Xenopus tropicalis: one gene and its partners. The protein of the gene in region 1 interacts with the protein of each later gene in a pairwise test. Links are inferred from orthologs where the notes say so. Each region holds a gene or a part of one and is shown in the gene's direction. Other genes may lie near its edges.

Evidence for each region.
Region 2: the proteins of tsr2 (region 1) and zbtb9 interact in binary tests that used the Homo sapiens proteins (3 or more experiments, as listed by UniProt). The two-hybrid records come from large-scale screens. The link is inferred for Xenopus tropicalis from reciprocal best matches to the Homo sapiens genes TSR2 and ZBTB9.
Region 3: the proteins of tsr2 (region 1) and rps26 interact in binary tests that used the Homo sapiens proteins (3 or more experiments, as listed by UniProt). The two-hybrid records come from large-scale screens. The link is inferred for Xenopus tropicalis from reciprocal best matches to the Homo sapiens genes TSR2 and RPS26.

The regions. Positions count from the first base shown.
Region 1 is NC_030684.2:25,373,129-25,376,882, forward strand, and holds the start of tsr2 (pre-rRNA-processing protein TSR2 homolog), read left to right. Parts: upstream 1-1,276; 5' UTR 1,277-1,489; coding exon of another isoform or gene 1,490-1,520; coding exon 1,521-1,601; intron 1,602-1,694; coding exon 1,695-1,785; intron 1,786-3,754. UniProt on the Homo sapiens protein: May be involved in 20S pre-rRNA processing.
Region 2 is NC_030684.2:71,796,193-71,799,946, reverse strand, and holds the start of zbtb9 (zinc finger and BTB domain-containing protein 9), read left to right. Parts: upstream 1-1,507; 5' UTR 1,508-1,567; intron 1,568-1,590; exon of another isoform or gene 1,591-1,687; intron 1,688-1,693; exon of another isoform or gene 1,694-1,863; intron 1,864-3,754. UniProt on the Homo sapiens protein: May be involved in transcriptional regulation.
Region 3 is NC_030678.2:137,758,983-137,762,714, reverse strand, and holds the start of rps26 (40S ribosomal protein S26), read left to right. Parts: upstream 1-823; 5' UTR 824-991; coding exon 992-994; intron 995-1,890; coding exon 1,891-2,068; intron 2,069-2,753; coding exon 2,754-2,884; intron 2,885-3,732.

The DNA.
Region 1 (3,754 bases):
AAAAAATTTTGCCGCGCTGCGCACGCCAAATCTTTTTGTCCCTCTTTTCATTTTTCAAATGTTGGGAGGTATGCTCTATATGTTTAGCTCCATGTCCATCATAAGACCAACTGCAGCTGCCTGTGCCCACCACCGATTTTTCCTGACAGGAATAATGGTGTGGTGGCACAGAAAAAGGCAAAAGCATCAGCTGAGCATGCTCTTTGGCATGCTGGAGTACCGTGTGATACTCCAGTGCTGTGCAAATGTAACTTAGTGTGCCAGGCACTGTTCCCACAATGGATTTTTCACTAGTGACATAGAAGAGCATGCTTGCAATGGGGGTAATACTATGTATTACTGTGCAACACTTGCCTATGATGTGGATGCAGTGGTGTAATAATGCTGCTCTGGGCCCCCCTGCAAAGAAACCTGCAGGGGACCTGGCATGGACCTCCCTTCAAGCGCTCAGCCAAACACACCAGATAGGTAAGCTAGTAGCTCGGGAGGGGAATTTTTTAGAGCTGCAGAGGTAGCAGACCCCACAGTCTGCCCCCCTCTCGTGACTGAAGGGTTTGCTTCCTCTATAGTTATGCCAGTATGCGTGCTTAACTGCACTGTAACAGAGTGTGGTGCATCAGGCAAAACTTAATGTGAATACTATATGATTATTGAAATTACTCATTATTAGGGCCTCACTGCAAATCCAGGGCCTGCTTCCTCTGTAGCACAGGCACTGCTGTAAGATGCCATAGACAGGCCCGGATTTGTGGCGAGGCCACAAAGGCCCGGGCCTAGGGCGGCACATACACAGGGGTGGCATGCCGCCCCGCTGCAAGCAAATTTTAACATTTTGCTCCCATACGGAGGAATGGGGAATGCGCAAGTTAGGCGCATTTGCATTTTTGCGGCGGGGGTGGGGGGGGCGTCGAATGGGGGCGGCCTTGGGGCGCCCCAAGTAGAAATCCGGCCCTGGCCATAGACAGTCACTAATTATTGGGCTGTTGTGGGCTGTTTGGGCCTCTGTGTACTCTGTCCCTCATTTCCCTTTGATCTCCTGCACTGAATGCTAAAAAAAGATACAATTACAATCAAAATTGTAATAACACAATAAACCAAGACCCCCCCAAACATGTGTTAAAATTTTAAATAACCTGCCAAATTTTGTAAATGGGAGTGATATTTTAGGGATGTGGTCACAAAAATGGGAGTGGTCAGAAAGTTTCCACCACAGCATTTCTTTTTTTTTTCAAGTGTTTAACATTTTTCCAATTTGTGTGTCCCCCTTCTACTTCCTACTGTGCCCCTCTGATACTAGCAGGGACCCCTTGGGCCCTACAGCCTTGCCATACGGAGCAGCAGTTACTAAGCTGATTAATAGCTGCCATTCCCCTATAGTGCGCATGTATGACTATGCCTGTCTCCATGGAGACGCTCCTGTGATCCGCTCTGCGCTGATGGCTGCGGCATTCTCTATCGATGTGATCGGCGCCTCCTCCTTTGGGCCTGAATGACGCGGTTGCTGCTGGGAGAGAGGTGTCATGGCGGCGCGCTGCGTAGATTCACGTGTGCTGTTCGGCGAAGCTGTCAGGGCTGTTCTGGGCAGCTGGCCGGTGCTGCAGGTGATTTGCTGCATTCAATGAACATTTTATATACGGGTATTAGTAAGCAAGCGAGTCTGTGCCTGTACATTACTTGCAAATGTCGTTTCATAGATCGCGGTGGAGAATGGATTTGGTGGGCCTCACAGCCAGGAGAAGGCGGAGTGGATGGTTGGAGCAATTGACCAGTATTTTAACTCTAATGGTACGTGAAAGGTGATCATTTATGGGCTTTTAACTAATGAACTAGTGAAGGGATGTGTAGAATGGGGGGTTGGGGGCCCCACCACAGGTTTTATTGAGGTTTGAGCATGTATGTATGTATGTTTGTATGTATGTATGTCTTTATTTATAAAGCGCTACTTATGTACGCAGCACTGTACAGTAGAATACATTAATACAAACAGGGGGTTATAAAGATAATAATAGATAAATACAAAGTACAACAATAAATACAGATAGATACAGATAAATACAGCTGCAATAAGTTAAGAGTCGAGGACACAAGAGGAAGGAGGTCCCTGCCCCGTAGAGCTTACAATCTATATGGGAGGGTAACTAACAGACACAAATAGGATGTGAGATACTCGTACTAACAGCGAATACTCTCGCTATTTATAGATTGATAGTTAAAGGGTAAATATAATACTTATTTGCCTTTCTAAGTTCGTCTTTAATTTACTGCTCTACATGCCCTGTTGTGCGCCTTGGTATTGGTGGCTTTTCTCTTTTTATTATCAGCTATTTGCAAGTTGCCTAAATGTTTGCCATGAAATGACAAATAAACACTAAATAATGACTAGAAATGCTTTGTTGCATCTACTGAACTTCTGGGCTAGGCCAGAGACTCGGCAGCCCTGTGATATTAATTACCCATGGTTTTATGTTTATACCATAGAAATATGCATCTTACGGTTTTGTTGGGCCTTATTTTGAGTGTCAGTGACATTGCACATGCTCAGTGAGCACTGGGCAGCTGTAGAGAAGCAAAGCTTAGGGGTCGAGAGAAGTCATTCTATGCAGTGTGCACTGGTTTCTAGGCTGCCATGTAATGTGAACCTGCACTAAATAATCTGCTTGTATTATGAATTGTATATTGTGTGTATACACACACACACTGCAGCGAGTCAGCAGAAAAGAAGAATGGGAGCTATTGGGGGCATCTTTGGGCAGATATAGAAGCTCAAGACATGGGGTCTAACATTTATAGCTTTAAAATTTGTTGAGCTTTTTTTCTCCTTTAGACTGCTGACTGATGTTTATATTTAGCTCACAACTCTATATAGAATACAGCTTTAAAGGACATGTAAACCCCACACACAAAAATGTAATCAGTGAACAGCCTCTTTGAAATCTTTCAATTCCTGCCACACTGGTTGTCCAGAGGTTAATAGTAAGGCTGCAACCCCCTTAATCACTTAGATTTGCTTCTCCTCCTGTAACCCACTCAGCCCCCTCCCTCAGGAATTTGCTTTGGCTGTTGGCTTGTGGGCATGCTCAGTTGTTCTAAGCTCAGATTACTTGCTGAGCAAGGACAGCATCAATGATCCCACATGGTCCTCTCCCAATAGGATACTCTAAGCTGCCAGCTATCTGATGGGAGTTATGTGCACGTAAGCTGATGGCTTGGCCTTTGCCAAATCTCATAAAACTAATGCAGCACCCTCAGGTTTCATAAATCTGCCTTTGTTTCCACAGTTGTGATTGTGCCTGTGTTAAAGGGATATTCACCTTAACATTAATGGGTTTTGTTTTTTTTTTTTGGTTGATCTCCACTCCCCTCCATGTAGCTGCACTCAGGCCAAACCTGTGACTGTTAGTGGAGTGCCTACAAAATGCAGGCTGAGACAAGCCAGGTGTGACTTTGGCCATATAGAGATTATACAGTGGTGTGAAAAACTATTTGCCCCCTTCCTGATTTCTTCTTCTTTTGCATGTTTGTCACACAAAATGTTTCTGATCATCAAACACATTTAACTATTAGTCAAAGATAACACAAGTAAACACAAAATGCAGTTTTTAAATGAGGGTTTTTATTATTTAGGGAGAAAAAAAATCCAAACCTACATGGCCATGTGTGAAAAAGTAATTGCCCCCTGAACTTAATAACTGGTTGGGCCACCCTTAGCAGCAATAACTGCAATCAAGCGTTTGCGATAACTTGCAACGAGTCT
Region 2 (3,754 bases), about 46 Mb from region 1:
ACTATCTAAATACTATAATGAAATTCATATGTTAGTGCCCCACTTGGCCTCCTATACCTTGTCTATATAGCTGCACTCCTGCAGGGATCTCTCCACTAGGCACTAGTCTTGGGTAACTTTCTTCTCGGGTCCATGCTGCCTAGAGATTTGTATCCGCAACTGTCAGAACAATAAAAGAGAAGGGAGAATTGAACTGAATTGATATTTTGTAATGAAAGTATATTGGAGGTAGGTTTCTGGAGGTAAGGAGCCTGAAAGGGGATTTTATTTTTGACTTTAGATCCCCTTTAGGATCAGATCCACCTTTTCAGGTCACATATTCCCAGTATTTGTCTGTATATAATTAAAAAAGTCTCTTCTCACATACCATTTTTCTTGACTGTGTCATATGATATAGTTGTGTCAGTAAATAAAAAAATATTTTTAACAAAGAAGTATCATATATATGTAATTGCAGGGGCTAAGTATCAGTGTCAGAATGAGATGCCAGGTGCACACTGCCAAAACTTTAATTCCTCCTCTCCTCCTTCAAACTCTTTATTATCCTAGTCTCTTTTCTCTACATACTAACGTTTATTCATCCATTTACCAAGCTTCCATGTTCCCATCCAGAAATAGGCTAAATAGTTAGAAGCAAGAGGGCCCACTGACACCTGGGCCCACAGGGAGTTTCCCTGGTATCCTGGTGGGCCAGTCTGGGACTGGTAGGTATAATTAAATATGAACTTTGGACAGTGGATGCTTGCATTGTTGTACCAGTGCAACTTTGCCTCAAAAATGTGTCCAGAAGGGGGAAGGGGGGGCCTGCTGCATGCCCTGCACCTGGGCCTGGGGAGGTATAGTTCCGCTACTGTTTGGAAGCATAAATCAGTTTGGTGTAATGATCTCTTGTACCTGTTATCAGTGTTGGACTGGAATACCAGGGGCCCACCAGAAAACCTTAGAACATGGGCCCACTCTCCAAAATATTATTCTCCTATTACATGCTAGCATCTATTTTTCCATCTATTATTTGTATTTGTTCCCATTCAGAAATAGGGAATGACCATGAAACAGGCCAAATGGTTTGGAGCAGGAGGGCCTACTGACCCCTGGGCCCACCGGGAGTTTCCCTGGTATCCTGGTGGGTCAGTCTGACACTGCCTGTTATAAACTTAAAATATACCAGAGAATGCATATCACCACATAATTTCACATTTAAATATTCCTTTTTATCTGTACTTCTTCTATTTGCTCCAGCTCCCTATTTTGGTCCATCACACTAAAACGAATCATTTATTAGTTCTTTGACCTGGTTAGTAATTTGTATTGGATAATGTATGTGAAAGCAGGCTACTCAGCCTGGAGCTTTGCAGGCAATAGTAACATAGTGCTGTGAGAGGCAGATCACTTGGCACACCACACAGCTATAACCCTCTATGGAGCAGTTTGTATCATAGCCACGGTTTATTACAGCACATTCATACTACTTGTGCTTGTGGTAGGTTCCTAAAGGAAAGAGCGCAATATATCCCCCTTCTGGTCTCCAGGGGTAACTACAGGTGTGAGCGGCGCTCTGAGACAAGGGGTAAGGTAATGTTCGTCCATGTGATACAGGCCCGGATGTTTCCTAGCTCGTTTTCCCGGGGATAGCGCCTACTTGTCCCTCCTCCTTACTCTCGTAGAGATGTGACTACGGAGTCCCAGGGTTGGTTATACTTGTCCCTGACCGCGTTTTGCATGGCTCCAATTTGATGGTTTCCCAGGGTTACACACGTTTGTCCCGCGTCTGGCCTCCACGGGCCTGGCTATGTTTGTCCTGCCGCTGGTGCAGTGACGGGCTGCTGTATTTAGGGAGCTTCAGGGGAGCAGGGAAGTAATACGGTATGTTTCAGGGGTGGGGTTTATAGCGCCTTTGTGAGCAGTGCACTTATCAGAACTCACAAACCTGTGTCTAGTCTGTGGCCTTCTAGCTAGTTTGGGACTACAGTTCCCAGCATCCTTCACATACAGCCGAACTACAGCGGTAGAGTCACTATTTACAGTAACGGACACCAGTAGCAACTATGTACCATAAGGCCACAGGCTGTATTGATTGGGTAATGGGTGTGTGGGCCTGGCTGGGAAGGGAACAGGTTATCGGATAGCATTTTGTTATATGTACTTGTATTTTGGGCCTTATTGCTCCTTGTCCTCCCTCAGCCCTGTCCCACTGCCTGATCGCTAGGGGAGACTAAGGTACAAGCTCGCAGGGGGACACATAATAATGGGACACATAGCCCAGTAAGGAATGAGGGATAACTGGGGCAGTGCTGGGCATCACTTTCCTACCATCACTCCTGCCATGTAAATGGCTGCTAACAGATATGGAATTGGCTGCCCTTTATATGTTATAATGTTTCTCTGATGCAGATACATGAAATCCATCATTAGCTGTGACCAAACAAAGCCTCACACGGGATATTGTGTTCAGGGGAGACAGTATGTAGCCATGACAGGTGCTTAAACCAGTGATTTCAGGCAGATATTTTAGTATGTGAGTGACTTTGGGCATTTTAAACATGTTTCTTCGGCTGATAAAAAATATGTGGTGATCAAAGTGCAGAAAACATGCCTTTTTTGAAGGGTGAGCGCTTACGAGAGCCTGAGGATTGTCCAGCAGACAGTCACACTGTTCTACCTGGTGCCCAGCACTCTATATACTGAGCTTTTACATAAGTGCAGTGATGCCAAAGTAAAGACGGCTTGTGGGCACATAGCAGGGACTATTTCTCTGCACCTTGCTCAGAAAAACTGTTATACATTTGCAGCCCTGCACTGGTAATTTATTTAAAGAAGTAAAAGTGTATACAGTCCCTAATGTTGTGGCCCAGGCTTTTGGGTGTCTTGTAAAAATCTTATTTATAGTCTGATTATCAAGAGAGCTTGTTGGGTTGCAGCATATACACAAATATCCCTGGTGAAGCCTCCTTGGTTGTTTAAAGATGTTGCATCATTGACAACCCTGCATATTAGACTTAGGTACAATTATAATATTAGCTAGGCTTGTGCTCTCCAAAAATGTTTATTAATTCTGAAAAGTATAACTATAAACACCAATATTACTCCATGTGATATCTACACCAGGGGACAGGAGCCTAGTGTGGTACTACATGCCTGTCAGTGCCTGGCAGGATGGATCTTGTCATGAAAATGCTTGTGTGCACACAGACAGGAAGATGTCTTTCTGTCAGCCAGGGTTTGAGTAGATTGTCTTATTCTCTAAAAGAAAAAAACCCTGGTGTAGCATTAATTGTATAGTTTCATTTTTTAATGGGAAAAAGCAGTAGTTGCAGTATTAAACAGAGGGTTATTTTAGTGTATTGTATAGGTGCATTGACTCCAAAAATGAATAAATAAAAAAGTTGCCCTGCATGTTTCATGCCTTTCATGAACACTACGACGTAGTGCCCTTGAGCAGTATGAAACCATTTGCACTGTATCAATTTACTTCTAAAATATTTAAAATATTTTTTTGTATTTTGGAATTCTTGCATCCTGTTCCAAAATAAGGTAGCCACACGTAAAGATGGCCACATGTGCCAGATTCAGCTGCCCATATCAGTCCCTTAGAGCGATTCAGCAGCTTATTTGCCAGTGTATAGGCACCATCGACAGGCCTTCCCAAACGGCATCTGACCTGAACCAGTGGCACCTATGCCTGCCATTTTAATTTGATTGTTTGGCCCTAGTAAGTGGGCATATCGGGAAAAGATCCTCTTGCTTTATGACATTG
Region 3 (3,732 bases), on another chromosome or scaffold:
TGCTTTTCTTGGTAAATCTTTGCAGTTAGGAGTACAGGTATGCGATCCCTTATCCAGAAAGTTCCGAATTACAGGAAGGTCATCTCCCATAGACTCAATTTTAATCAAATAATTCAGATTTTTAAGAATGATTTGCTTTTTCTCTGTAGTAATAAAACAGTACCTGTACTTGATCCCAACTAAGATATAATGAATCCTTATTGGAGGCAAAACAATCCTAACAGGTTTATTTAATGTTTAAATGATCTTTTAGCAGACTTAAGGTATGGAGATCCAAATTACGGAAAGACCCCTTATCCAGAAAACCCCAGGTCCCCACCATTCTATATAACAGGTGCCATACCTGTATTTACCAACTTTGGGTTCATCAGAATGTGTCCTGTACAGAATATCTTTTACAGTTCGGGGCTTTATGACACATGCAATACAGGCAATGTGCGTTTGTTATAAACAGGATCATGCAATTATGCGACTCGTATCTAGCGCATAGAAATGCCATATCATCTATTTCAGCTGCGGTAAAAGCCCCGCAAAATGAATTGCGGCTGCACATAGAGCATCCCCGTAGCTCTTTCAAGACCCCAATCCCTTGGGAAGCTCTAGCCCCAAGCAGCCCCTGCTCACACGAGAATTCTCTACTGTCCTTTATGCAAGTGCTTCTCCTGTACAACTTTATCTCCAACAGCAAAAACACGTACAACCGGAACCATCTCCATAAGCGAATGAAATGCGCATGTTCAGTCTAACCATGTGAGGTATAGAAGCGTACATTGCGTGTCTTTATCCTTCCGCGGTGACGAAAGCAAAATAGTTCCAACCCGACTGAGTACGCCTACTAAGAACCCAGGCGAGGCGCAGTAGGAAAGCGCTCAGCCAACAGAGTGGCTCGTCTTATCGTTTTCAGTGTTACGTCATCTCCGTCGCGCAGGGATTGGGCTTTATAAGGGCAGCGCGGCACCTTCCGGTCCTCTTTTCAGCCCTCGACTCCAAAATGGTGAGAAGTTGCTGCCTGGAGAGGCAGCGTTAGGCACAATCATTCGTATTTATAAACCCCACCCGTATAGTATCGCTAGTGCTGCGGCCTGTGCGCTTTTCCCGATACACGGCGGTAGAATGACAGGGCGCTGTGCGCGCCGCATGCTGGGGAATAGCACGAGGTCTATGGCGCCTTCCCCTTGTGGGATCCGGGCCGGGGCTCCGAGGCACAGGGGTAAAGCGCTGTACCAGCCATGGGGAATTAACTATTTGCGGCTGATTTCAACCTTCCGTTCCCAAACATACGTTTGAGTTACATCGATTTATCGTATGTCGCATTTGGGTTACTGACTGGGTGCCCGTCACTATTCCTGCGTTATACACGGATATATGTATTGGCTTGTGTCTATGCCTCGGCATCTTACAGCGGTATTACTCTAATGTTTATGTCCGGGCGGTGCTGCTTTACGATAGTTGCGTCCCTTGGTGCTCAGTGGGAGACTGTAGCAGTATATAATGGGATTTGCACATTTTAGGGTAAAGGCAGCACCATTCTGTGTCAACCTGGGTATGTTGCATTAAATATTGGGCTTAATGTAAAAAATGTAAGTTTGCATCTTTTTTTAGTTATCCATAGCAACCAGTCAACATGTATCATTAGCTGGTTAGATTGGTTGCTATGGGTTACTAGATGTGGGCAAATTTAAAACATATTGCCATATTCTAGTGTTGACAGGTTGGAGCCTTGCCAAGATCCCCCATAGACCTTTGTGCTCATTAATCACACAAATTAATATCTGCACAAAATAATGGGATGCAAGTACTATGTGATGGTTAGTGAGACTGAGTGCAAAATGTTTGTCTTAACAAACCGTACATGATTTTTACTATTTTAACACATTGTCTTCTGCACAGACCAAGAAGCGAAGGAATAACGGACGCGCCAAGAAGGGCCGTGGTCATGTCCAGCCCATCCGTTGCACAAACTGCGCTCGCTGCGTCCCAAAGGACAAGGCCATCAAGAAGTTTGTCATAAGGAATATTGTGGAAGCTGCAGCTGTCAGGGATATCTCAGAGGCCAGTGTCTTTGATTGTAAGTTGGTACCCATTGGATGGGGGTTATTTACATGGCCTTTAGCTAAATGCTTTTATGAGGGTACGACAGGCTGCAGATTGTATAAATTTTAACCTTTTGCAAGCTTAGTTTATTTGCATAGGATCGTGTACACTTTGCTCTTAGAATTCATTATTGTATAAATGAGGCTATACACATGTTCGGCTTTAACAAATATTTTACGCAACTGCATTTTGCACTGAAGCATAGGAGGGGCTGTCAGAAAAGATTTGCTTCCCTTGTAGTAGGCCAAGAACAAGTTTATTGACTAAGTTTAGAAGCTGTTACTGAGAAGTGCTGTGTCTTCACCCTTAACCACGGAGTTTATGTAAATGTTCAGATGTACAGTAGTCTTCTTGCATATCTGTCCTCTTGGCTGACTTCCCTCATGGTTAGGTGACTGCTACGGTCTATGACCCCATTCCCAAATGCTTGTGATCAGATTGATACAAGAGTATGCATGTCATAGGGCTGCTGTATCTGCTAAATGGCACAGCAGCCCTACAACATCCTACAGAATAAAGCTGCAGGTGAAATTATGTAGGAGGGCTACACAATACTAACCTCTGAACAGCTTAGCTTGTTACTAAGTGTATTTTCTAATATCCATGAAATATTAGTTTTATCAAATTGCATTAACAAAGGCCTTGATCTTCTCTTCCAGCATATGCACTTCCCAAGCTGTATGTGAAACTGCATTACTGCGTCAGCTGTGCCATCCACAGCAAGGTGGTCAGAAACCGCTCCCGTGAAGCCCGTAAGGACCGAACACCACCTCCCAGGTTCAGGCCTGCGGTAAGTTCCTTACCAGAAATCTTGAAATTTAACTGGGCTTAACTTCTCTGCTGGCCTCTAATCTACGCTGCATCACGTGTCTGGCAAGATGGGGCAAAGTAAGATCTAAGACTGGCAGTGTAACATTAATGGAGCTGGCAGTCAAGTACTTGGCAGCCAGTTCCATATATACTAAGATCTGTGGCAGGTCGGCAGTTAAAGGAAGGAAGTCTGGTTTTGAAAAAACATGGGCTTGTGTATAAGCTCAATGCTAAAACTTTGTCAGGCATGTTTGTTGCCCTTACTGGGCAGCACAGTTAACATAATTATCTTTCCAATGTGTTTAGAACACCTGGAAACTTGTTGGGTAGGTGTTTTGTATTTTTTTTTTTTTTCTTTCATTTCTGCATGCCATTTATTTTGTGAGTAAATACAGAAACAGCCTGGAAGCTCAGATCCAAGAGCAGAGTGACCCTGTCTTGGTAACAAGGCAGTGAATTGGCAGTCGGAACTGCAGGTCACTAAGATATTTAAAGGGGTCCAAATAAATGCTGGGTTTTTTTTGTTTAACCTCATTTAAGAAAAGTGAGTTTTTAATAGTTTCTAAAGCACTTTTTAATGCAAGTGCAGTTGAAACATTCTGGTTCTGACTCTGAAAAAATAACATGAGACCGTTCTATAGGTCATTTACAAATGGCTTTATAACAATATTTTATCAATGTATATTGGAACATTGCTTAAGTTTTGTATTTGGCTGGAGTACCCCTTTAGGCCCTAGTAAGCATTATAGCAGATAAAACCTAGCTAGTATTGCAGAAATGTAACTTAGATACCACATTAGCAATTAGCAAATTTCCAGATTCCTGGTG